Danio rerio: one gene and its partners. The protein of the gene in region 3 interacts with the protein of the main gene of each other region in a biochemical or structural test. Links are inferred from orthologs where the notes say so. Each region holds a gene or a part of one and is shown on either strand. Other genes may lie near its edges.

Region 1 (4,069 bases), on a different chromosome or scaffold from region 3:
ATGAGCTTAATCAAAAATTCTTAAGCCTTTTTGGGACAATTTAATTGTTTTACGTAAAACTAACTTAAATTTGCAAAAACAATGATGTTAACTTATTCGACTTTTGTTGGGACAACAGGAAGGAATTGTGTGGAAGCCTGCATCTTTTTACAGTGTTTTCCCCTGTTTTTTACTTTTAACCATTATCCTGTTATACATTAACTCATTGCAAATTAAATAATAAACTAAATTTTAAAAAAGGCCAAAAAATAATAACGGTTGTGGTAGGTTTGGTCACTGGTTGGCGCCAGATGTCAAGGTAGAGAATAAACATTTCCAGAGGGACAACATTGCAAGTGTCAAATGTGTTGAAATATGAATTCTGGTGTCCTTGAAGCATTTATATGATATCAAACAAGAACAAGAACGCACATAAAAGCGACTTTTAGGTCATGAAACGTTTATTTAAATTATAGCCTATATAGTTCTCAAACTGAATTCGTGGAGGGCCGCACATCTGAAGTTTAGCTCCAACTCTAATTAAACACACCTGATCCAATTAATCAAGACTCTTTTGAACACATTGATTAATTGGATCAGGTGTGTTTTATTAGATTTGGAGCAAAACAGAGCTACGGCTCTCCAGGAATTCAGTTTGAGACCCATGATTTAAATGTGTAGTTATCTCATTTGACTTTAAATGTCCCACAAACATTAAAGCTTGTATTTTTTTATTTTTATTTTACTGTTTCTAAAACTGTTGTATTTTTTTAGCCTATTTCAATTTACCTTTTTCTAAGCGTCGACATAAACCTATATTCATACAGAACTCTGAATATATTCGTTGTGGAAATGCTGTAAACCCGTTTGTAGGCTGCGTTCACTTTGGTCACTGGTTGGCGCCAGATGTTAAGGCACAGGGCATTTCCAAGAGATGGAGAGTAGTATTAAAAGGGTCTAAAACTGTCAAATATGCTTTTTGTTAAAGCCTTTCCTTTTCAGCACAATGCGCCCGTCTTTCCACCTGAAATCTGTGTGCCATCGAGGCAGACATCTCTATCTAGCCGCGCGCAAAAATTGAAATGGCGCGTTTGGCCCGAGGCGGTTGTGTGGGCGCCTTTGCAGAGGCACAATGCATATCGATATACGTCATTTAGTTTTCATGGCCAGCAGAACATTATTAGGGCGCCGAGAGACACGTTTGGAAGCAAATTAATTCTTCCATTAAAATAGAAACATCAATCAAAAAAGACGTTCGTAGTTAGAAAATACAGTAGGCTATATTTTGTGGGTAAAGTGGTTTAATACAACAGCCTTCTTCTTTTTCCCACTGAAGGTTAGCCAAAGACATGCACACAGGTAAACCGTTATCCTCACACGCGCGCGCGCTCATCATATCTTTGTTCAGACGATGAATAAATAAATGACGATAAATGCGACGAAAAGACACACATACGCATCCTCCCAAATGCGAATAGCAAGATCAAATGTTGTTCTTGTAACTCGCCCCAGCTCAGGCAGGGTTGAGCTAATTGTAGCCTAATCCTGCCCCGGGGCGTTTGGAGAGCCTTGAGCAAGAATTCTTGTTCAGCTGTCCTCTGTTATTCGGGCTGGAACGCTGTGCCTTCAACGCACTCTCACGCTTCAACAAAAAAGGAGCAAGAAAGAAAAAAAGCGAGGCTAAGACACGCCACCATCGATCTCATGTTTTAAAGAGGGCTGAAGATACATTTACAGCTATGTCTTCCAAGGTAAGGACGCAGCCTTGACTGACTCCCCTGTGTAGCTTTTGTGGAAAGTGTCTATAGCAGTCTGTGTTTTAGGCGAGTTTTTAAAGCCACAGCGACCTATATAGCGCTGCGTTCGCACCGGCGTTAGATTTCCGCTGGATTCCGAACGGATTCTGTACGAAGAGCTCTTGGAGAAAATATTACCAAAAGTTCTTTCTAGAGGACGAGCAAGCTTCATCGGAGAATCCTCCTCAGATTGCGTCGGACATCCTAAAATGTTTGAAACGGTACGGTACAGATTCTGTCAAATTCTCGAGTCTTTTCTCTTTATTGCATTCGTTCTCAGTGTGTCGTGCTTTTGCAGTTTTAGATCAGGGAGGGCTGATTTGGGTATACAATGAGAGGTCAGAGCACTACTGTATGCCCATTGCGTACAGGAAGTGCGGTACATAGAGTTGTAGGGCTATTTTACGCACTCCTGAGACCTGGCGCAGTTATCATCAACTATTATTTCGGACTTTGATGAGATCTTACTTTGCACTCGCTCGTAGCGGCAGATTCCTTTTCACTACAAACATCAATAGTTAGCTTTTCAAGTCATGACATGATGTTCATACTATTGAAGCGTTATATATATATATATATATATATATATATATATATATATATATATATATATATATATATATATATATATATATATATATATATATATATATATATAACATTAGACATTACTCACTAAAAATGCAGTTCGTATTTTAGTCAGTTGTTGATTCAACCCTTTCTGAAAATGTCTGTTCATTGAATGAAGCATTTGGTGTTTGACTGATTCCAAGTTATGAGGCTTTTGAGTGACTCATTGAATGATTCGGCTCCCAGGAGTCGTTACTTCGTTTTTCTAAACTGCTACTGCTTTTGAAATATGGGTTTCTTATTACTGTGGCGCAGTATAGTCTTATAGGAACGAATGGATAAGGACAAATTAAAACATATAGCCTTGTAAAAGTTGTAAACAATTTTATAATTAATATAATGTCTTTAGCCGTGACTCTGAAGATTAATTGATGTTTTTTAGTAACAAAAATGTAAATTTTATATATTAATTCTATTATTCAATTTCACTTAAACTAACCATAATAACCTGCAGTTCATTGACTGAGATGTTGATTCAAACCGTTCTTGACAAATTCAGCGTTCATTCATTGAATAATTTGACACGTTGATTCTAAGTTATGAATCTTTTGTGTGATTCGTTAAAAGAATTGGCTCATAAGAGTTGTGCTACAGGCAACCTGTCAGGCTGTGTTTGATTTTTCGTAATTTATAAGAAATTTATTTGAAATGTTTATTTATTGGTAGACAATTTTTTAAGTTCAAATTGAAAATGATTTATTGCTCACACGTGGGATACAAAAAAATAAAAAATAAAACCTGATGTTTTAGATGCAATTGAAAATGTTTAGCTAATATTGTAGCTTATTATTAACGTAGTGTTCAAGTATTATTAATATTGATTTTTATGAACAAACTTTTCATTCAGTTAAGAATTCAACAGATTTGCGTGACTCATTAAAAAAACGACTCATAAGAGTCATTTGTTCATCATTGGAATGCATGGGCTTCATTTTGTTTGTCTTTTGGATCTTAACATTTGAAATTTGCATTCTTGAAATTGTTTCACAGTATTTTAATAACATTTTAATGACATTTGATAAAAATTATCCAACATTCATGTCTTTATACAAAATAAAATTAGCAGTTTTTTGGCTAATGTGAAAAGTGTGTCAGTTTTCTGGACACTGCTATTCAGGTCAGAAATCATTTGTTGACCAACAAATACGATGAATTCGACTTTTTAAGTGACTCATGATAAGAACCAGCTCAAATTAAGAGTCATTTGATTGTTATGATTGTTTGTTTTCACATAGAAGAAATTGAAAATCTATTTTTCCCATGTAATTATTTGGTGGTAGTCAGAATTTTAATCAAATATAATTCAAATGAATGAACACTAACATACTGAATACACATTTTGTCAGCTGTTATGCTGCGAGTCCATTTTTTCGTAAGTAAATCCTGTTTAGTTTCAAAATAAGTCTTTAAGATATCTTTATATTATTAAACTTATTAATTTCAGTAGCTTTAAATGCAACTATAGCTAAAACATGGATACATTTACATTATTTGGCCTTTCATAGATAAATCTAAAGGCTTAGACACAGTCCACAAGTCTTTGACGTACAACTATGGGCAGACTTTGCTCCAGGCATTGTGCTTCCAGAAATGGGACTTTAACCATCTGTTTAGGCAGGATTGTTCATTTCTCCAAACAAAAGGTTGATTCATGCCACAACAGC
Region 2 (4,257 bases), on a different chromosome or scaffold from region 3:
GTGTGCCGCGTCGCGGGGGCACTTTTGATCATTTTGGAAGGGCACTTTCTATCCAAGACTAAAAAGGGCATGTGCACTGCACAGGTTGAGCCCTATGTGTGCACGTGCCTGAATGGCAGCACAAAATGTTTTATATACAAAAATAGACGACCATAAAATATCACTAATTAAAATATAGGCAAAATATTCACATGATTCTTCCAGATAAGACTCCAAAAGATTTTTCAAAACATTTAGAGATGGAATTGTTTCAAACATGATAACACTCTGCATTTCATTCCATAATGTAGGACCAAAGGAGGAAAAGGCTGTTTAACCAAACCCCATACACACTCTAGGAACAGTCAAATGTAATAACAAGTATTATAACTACAAGTATAATATGATTAAAGGTTTATTTACACAACATCACAGATGCATGTTTTTGTAAAAGCAACATTCTGATTGCGATAAATGTTTTGTGATAGTGGGATTCCTTAAAACAAAACTATTTCATGGCTGCTTCCAAGTATTTATATTTGCCGTGTGTACACGTTCAATACTCGTTTTAGATTTTTTTTCACATTTAATTTTAGAAATTAATGAAATTACAATTATGAAATCAAACATTTTTGTTATCTATAGATATTGCCATTATAACAACACCAGGTTTAAGGTTGCACTCCCTTTTTTATCACCCTTTTTATTACCCAATGGTTTTTTATCTATACCAAACTTGAACAGACTAGAAGAATCAACAACAGAACAATGTAGCAATAAGAGAGACATTTGGAGTATTATGGCCTCAAATATGAGAAACATGCAATAACTTAATATAGCCGAGCAGAAAACAATCAGTCACATTTAATTTTTAAGATAAAGGCTTTGTGACTCAAATACATAATTCTGCTTTTGAACAATTCCATGCAAATGTCCACCTTGCCATGAAAAAAAATAAGTTTTCACCAAAATATGGTAACCATTTCTACAGTAAGTGTTTTGTGTAAGCAAGTATTTTACCGCACTTTAGAAATACTTAAAAATCTCTCTCATTGTTTTTAAACTATAATAATTGATTTACCAAAGTCAACTTCACATCAGTCACATCCATAACGACACACTTTTTCCGCATAAATGCAAAAATATTAAATAAAATAAAATCAATTATGTTTGTTCTAGAGAGCCAACTCTTATACTTTTGACTAGCATAATTTCTTTTGGAATGTGCCGTTTAACTCACAGAATTTCTACAAAGTATGTTGTATAACTCAGACATCCTTTTTTGGTCACGTCCACAACGCATGTTTATTTCCCTTATTTAATGTATTAACATATTTACAGATTGATATTTTTCTGATCTCCTAACTCTGGTCAGTTGTTCTGGAAAATATAAACATATGTTTCAATATAATGTTAACATATATATTTTCTTTGTAAATTTATGTTTTGAGTTTTTACTGCAAATGTCACATCCATAACGCTGGAAATGCTCTTTTACCTCCTGTTTCCTTGCAATAAGTTCTTACCAAACCTATGCTCTTTGGCTGCACAGAAAACACTAAAGACATGACAGATGTATGTCCTTCTCCTCCTAGTATTCTCGATGAGCTAATGCTGAAATGCATATTTCATGCATGTGTGCTTTGCTTCTAAACTAAGAGCACCATCAGCTGCATGTGGTCAACACTACAACCACCACTGCCATTAAAGAAACGTCTTATTCTTAAAGCAATAAAAAAGACAAGATGCAAAGTGAGGAGCATTTCAGACCATCAGTTCAATCAATGCATAATTCCCTGTGGACTAGAAAAACATGCATCTAGAATGCACATGCAGTCAGATATTATCTATAAATGTCACATTAATATTTGCTCAGAACATGCAAAGAGCACATAGGAAATATGTTCCTACTTAAATGTTTAGAGATTTTTGGCACTTTTTGACTTATATTACTCAACTATAACCTTTTTTGAAGGTTGACCATCAGTTTAGCCAGCTAGCGGGCGAGTGTCAAAAATGCTTTAGCTAGCAGGCTAACTAGTTTAAACAGTCGAAAAGAATCCCAAAAAAGTTGTTACGAGTAGAACAATAAAGTTTATAAAATAAAAATACACACAATAAATGTAATTCAGACGTTTTGGACTATATTAGCACCAAACAATGTCTAGTTCCTATTTTTAAAAGGATGAATAGAGAAACACTGAGCTAGCAGTGCAGCAAAACTTCCTGCTGCTTTACAATGCCACTATAAACAGACTGCCATATACTAATACATTACACACCACTAAACCAAACCCAATGTATGTCAAAAAATGGCCTTAATACGATCATTTAAAGGTCATTGTGCCATAAAATGAAGTCGTAATCATCACTGCAGCTCCTCTTTCAAGTTTTCAACGACAGTTTTACAAGAACCTCCACACGTCCATATGCGAGACATTTTAAAGAAACATGACCTTAAAAAGAAAACAAACAAAAGTTGCCACTTTAGATGAACAGCAGCTACGAAAAAAGCTAGAAAAAAAATACATGTAAATCCACCCTAGTTTAACACTGACACACTAAGCTACGCCCTAACGCAAGTCCCTAAAAGATCACACTGAAACTTTTTCTCTCCACAAGCAAATGGCTGAAAACAACTTTAAACAGCTGCGACCAGACAGCGGGCTGTGATCGCTTTCCGCCCTAAAGCGCACATTTAAAGCTCAACAGATCTGGTAAACCCATTAGAACCGCTGGAAAGTGGCCTGAAGAGTGCTATATTTGTGTAGAAAGGGAGGTTACCTGAGTCAGGGAGAGACTGGCAGCCATAGTGTTTCTGTTCCCACTAGTTCATCCTGCGTTGCGATAGGCAATGGGCAATATAGGTATGCTACAAAACCTGGCACTGGAGTCCTTGGTGGATTGGAGCAAAACAAAACCCGGCGGTGCATTGTTCGGTGGATCTGTTGGTGATGATGGGACAGCCAATGACTGGTGATGGCGCCTTACAAAATAGACACTGGAATAGAGTTCTTAGTGGAACAGGAGGACATAAAATAAAACACGGAGAGGGAATACCTGGATCAGGAGATGAAGAAGTGGTGAACTAATGCGAGATCCCTCTTTTTTTCACGGATATTTTTTATTCATGAGATTTTCAAGCAATACTAATAATAATAATAATGATGATAATATTAACAACAATAATATTAATTATAATAAATGAATATAAGGAAGAGTAATTCTAGGATTTTTATTTTAGAAGGGCTCAAACCTAATAAGGGTATAATAATAATAATAATAATCATAATCATAATAATAATAATAATAATAATAATAATAATAATAATAATAATAATAATAGGTGGCATGGTGGCTCAGTGGTTATCACTGTCACCTCACAGAAGGTCGCTGGTTCAAGTCGTGGCTGGGAAAGATGGCATTTCTGTGTGAGTTTGCCTATGTTCCTGTGGGTTTCTTCTGGGTGCTTTGCTTTAACCCCACAGTCCAAACATGCGCTATAGGTGATTCGGGTAAACTAAATTGTCCGTGGTTTAAAGGTGTGTGTTAATGAAAGTGTATGGGTGTTGTCCAGTACTGGGTTGTGGCTGGAAGGGCACTCGCTGCATAAAACATGCTGGAACAGTTGGCAGTTCATTCTGCTGTGGAGAATCCTGATAAATAAGGGACTAAGCTAAAGGAAAATTCAATTAAATTCAATTCATCTTGATTTCCATAGCACTTTTACAATGTAGATTGTGTCAAAATGAATGAATAATAAATGAATAAACATAAGAGGAGATTCTACTTACATTTTAGAGGGGCTCAACCCATATAAGGGTAATAATAATAACAACAACAATAATAACAACAATAATAATAATAATATAAAAATAATCATAGATAAAATTAAAAAATAACTAATAGGTTAGGTTGTAAATAAATTAATTGCATTATGGTAACATTGAGTATTGATTACTGAATAAGCAAATACAAGACCTGTTTACTGTGCTATCCACTGTAAATTTGACTTTGCATTTCTATGCTCAACATTTTTGTTTCCACTTATAAGAAAAAGGAGAAAAAAGTGTCCACTTCTCTAATTCAAATTAAAATAAATTAAATCTTTTACTTTAAGGCTTTAAAATATTTCACAACTGGGTCATTAAAAACAATATTTAATACAAAGCTTGTGATGTTTCATGTCTGTTGTCGAATAATTTCTCAACATGACAGAACGCTACTGCCACACTGTAGATTTGAATTCAGAGATATATTATCATTTAAAACATGGTA
Region 3 (3,446 bases):
AATTTAATTCCAACGAACTGTAAACTGATTTCAGCAAACCCATAGATTTACATTACAATGACATAAATATTTATCACGGCATTGCTGACAGTGTATCAGGAAAAGTAAGGTGGCGTCTACAAATAAAGGCATGGAAATGGCAACTGCACTAACCTTCAGCTGGATTCTACATCTGACTGATTTAAAGAGCACTCTTGCTCGAGGGCTAAAACTACACACATTCACTTCAAACACGAAAAAGAATTCATTGTTTTCTGTGTCATTTGGCTTGGCAAAAAAGCTCCCTGCCATATTTGAATGATCTTGTTCTCTGAACTAAGAGTTGAAAGTAAGTTTTTTTTTTTCTTTTTTATATTTGAGGGAAACAATGGGTTCAACTGCTTATTGCATGGAGCAATCGTCAAGGGAGAGTTAAACTCAATTACAGTAACTGTGTTGAATAGAAAAGAGAGAGAGGAATAAATCGCAGCAAGCAGTGAATAAAAAAAGTAATGAATAAAAATCGACATGAAGCGTATCAAATATTTATTTTTTTTCTGGGCAACAAAGAACTATAATACATTGACAGGCATGGGAGCTATTGCCAGCACAGGTTTATACAATACAGATAAAACCGCCTCCAATTTAGACAGTGGACACACAAAATATCAGATGGTCCCAAATGTTGAATTTATTCTAAAGAGAGAAAAAAAATCCATAGACAATATCCATTTATTGCTCTTGTGGTGCTTTGAGGGAAGAACAAGAGGTGATTGGCACAACACATAAAAAGCTTGTATAAAAAAAACAAGAAGATAGAAACACAAAACTAGCATCGTCGGGGTCTCTTTAATGACCTTCTTCGATCTAAAACTGAATGGCATAAGGATCATATGTAGAAAATGGATGTTTATTTCTTTTCAATTTGTTCACTTGCTTCAGTGTCGCCTCAACATGCTACAAGAGGGCTGAATTGAAATATCCCAGAGAAGAATACCCCAAACTTCTGTTTTCTAAGAACCATAAAACCACATGAAGAACTAAGCGAATATTCAAACCCACTAAAACAGGAGGCACCAGATAAATAAAAAAAAAGTTTGAACAGACGTACCATATTTACATTTCCCATTAAATTACACATAAATAAATATATACATACATGAACACAGATTCCCTCATATAACCGTGAATCGTGTTGAAATTCAAAGTTCAAGTTGGTCGCTTAGTCGAGTGAAAAGTCAGTTTTTAAAAGTCATGGCATGGAGCTGTAGATTTCTTTTTCAAGTTTATTATTCACAATACTGATAGAAAATCTTCCTCTTTCAGCTTCTTCTTGTCACATGGCTACAATCGTAAATTGGGATACTGAAGGGAAATCGCTGAATTTCAGTCCGTTGAACTCATACAAAGGAAGTTCATGAAAAGTCCAGTTGTGGCAGATCTGTACTCCTTTCATTGGCACACTGCTTTACTGATTTAGAGAAGTGCATTGTCCGCAAATCCCAGAATTAACTGTGTGTTTTATTAATTAAAAAAAAACTAAATGCCAAGATCGGAAGGTGGTGGGTTCAGTGTTTCATCTTGATCACTAGTGTGTTTGTTATATGTAGTTTGTCATATTAGTTGGGAGGTGGTGGTTGGATATCACTTTCTGTGCTTCTCATCTTTGTCACCCGCTTTCGACCCCGTCTCACTGTGGCTGTTGGGATTGTTGTTCAGGTACATTTTGTCCATTGCTTTAATTGCCTCCGTCAGATAGTTCTGCAGAGCTGTGAGGGCCGCACAGACGGCCGGAGTTCCGAATCCGTGAGAAATAAGACTGAAGTGGGTCAAACAGCTCTGAATCCCGGGCTCGAGAATGGGTTGTGGACGTGAATTCCCCAAGGGCGAGCGGTCTTGAGACAGCAGGTCCGTGAACTCTTTGCAGATTTGTCTAGAAGGAGACACAATGCAGGATGCGTGTCAGGAGGAAGCTAATTACAGCTGATGCTATGACGTCATACATGTATTAGTAAGACTATGTGGTCCATATGTGTCCTTTAATCGATGACACACGTATTCCGTTTGACAGTAGCTGGATGGGCAGTGTCGTGTCATAGCGATGGACAATTCACGTTCAGCTTAAGAGAGCCGCATCTATGTCAGAAACGGATGAGGGAGTCGTCTTGTATGTTTTTATTCTAAATCGTTGTTGTTTGCAGTCTTATGTGTTTTAATTGACACTGGTGCTGATCTTTTTTATTTAAACTTTTTTTTTTTTTATTGCATCAAATATGCCGATATATTTCATTGCAGAAAGCATACCGTTTCGTGGAATATTTGAAATATACTTCATAAAACCAAACGGCTCCAAAAAGCAGGAATTAAACCAGCTCTGTTTATTAAAATCTAAATGTAACAAATTTTTAGTACACGTATAGGCGATCCAGCATAAGGAATGCTCAAATAAACACGGAAATAGGTCATAAACAATGAAACACGCTTTGGCTTTTGGATAGAGAGAATAGCACTTACTTCGTAGCCAATAACATGTTTTTTCTTTGGACTTGTTCGTTTGGGTCGGAGTGCTGTCGGTTCATGTATTCAGCTATCGCCTTGGCTGGAAACTCAGTCTCACATACATAACCGAAATCTCTGGCCAGATGCACAGCTTCACCTAGAAGAAAATGGTAGTCAGTTTGTGTAACGTTACTAAAATGCAGTACAGTAATTTACATTTTTCATGATCTTCATCTAATTAGCGTTTTCGTCCAACAACCAGGATACGGCTCTCAGTCCTTTTTTATATTAATGCATCTTTATTTTCCATTAGTCCACCTAAACTAATAATAATAAGTCTGCCACATAAATTCGTTAGAATGTACCTCCCTTTTGAGATTTTAGACTAAAAGTAAACCTTCTTCCTATAGGCCTACTTTTGGTATATGCATGACAGGCTTCCACGAATAGGTCTGTGCTTAGTTGATTTTTACTAAAGTCTTTGGTTTTAATTTCCTGAAACAGTTGGGTTTTTACTGCGAGCCTTCCTGTCATAAGCCTAGAATCTGGAAGAACGCATGCGCCAATTAGCATCAAAGCTCAACTCTAAACTGCTTTCCATAAAATGGAGCAGATCATAAACAATAACAGCACTTCAGAAAGCCAGTGTCCTCCGACTAAATCAGCGTCTGCTTGCGTGTCCACCACCCCCACCCCTCGCCCTTATCTCACAGGAATCATACATTTCTTCAGGCTCATTACCATACAAGACTAAATTTCAATGAAGCACGATGAATATTACATTCAGTCTTCAGCGTCAATGATTAACAGGAACCAATGAACCGTCTCCAGCTTTCACCTTTAAAACCCATGGCACACCAAATACCACTGCACGGAATAATCACCTCCAACTTTACAAGCAAAATGGATTTATTCAAAAGCAATGGCATCTTCGCAGTGCAACATAATTAACTCATTTATTTTTTATA

The links. The genes of interacting proteins can lie anywhere in the genome.
Region 1: the proteins of tfap2a (region 3) and kctd15a form a complex in vitro, tested with the Homo sapiens proteins (2 studies listed by BioGRID, with this or other methods). The link is inferred for Danio rerio from reciprocal best matches to the Homo sapiens genes TFAP2A and KCTD15.
Region 2: the proteins of tfap2a (region 3) and eps15 form a complex in vitro, tested with the Homo sapiens proteins (2 studies listed by BioGRID). The link is inferred for Danio rerio from reciprocal best matches to the Homo sapiens genes TFAP2A and EPS15.

What each region holds. Positions count from the first base shown.
Region 1 is NC_133200.1:21,631,492-21,635,560, reverse strand, and holds the start of kctd15a (BTB/POZ domain-containing protein kctd15-like), read left to right. Parts: upstream 1-1,261; 5' UTR 1,262-1,718; coding exon 1,719-1,730; exon of another isoform or gene 1,731-1,984; coding exon of another isoform or gene 1,985-1,996; intron 1,997-4,069. UniProt on the Homo sapiens protein: During embryonic development, it is involved in neural crest formation. Inhibits AP2 transcriptional activity by interaction with its activation domain.
Region 2 is NC_133183.1:18,336,759-18,341,015, forward strand, and holds the start of eps15 (epidermal growth factor receptor substrate 15), read right to left. Parts: upstream 2,809-4,257; 5' UTR 2,791-2,808; coding exon 2,764-2,790; intron 1-2,763. UniProt on the Homo sapiens protein: Involved in cell growth regulation. May be involved in the regulation of mitogenic signals and control of cell proliferation. Involved in the internalization of ligand-inducible receptors of the receptor tyrosine kinase (RTK) type, in particular EGFR.
Region 3 is NC_133199.1:9,069,333-9,072,778, forward strand, and holds the end of tfap2a (transcription factor AP-2-alpha), read right to left. Parts: intron 2,636-3,446; coding exon 2,494-2,635; intron 1,913-2,493; coding exon 1,624-1,912; 3' UTR 509-1,623; downstream 1-508.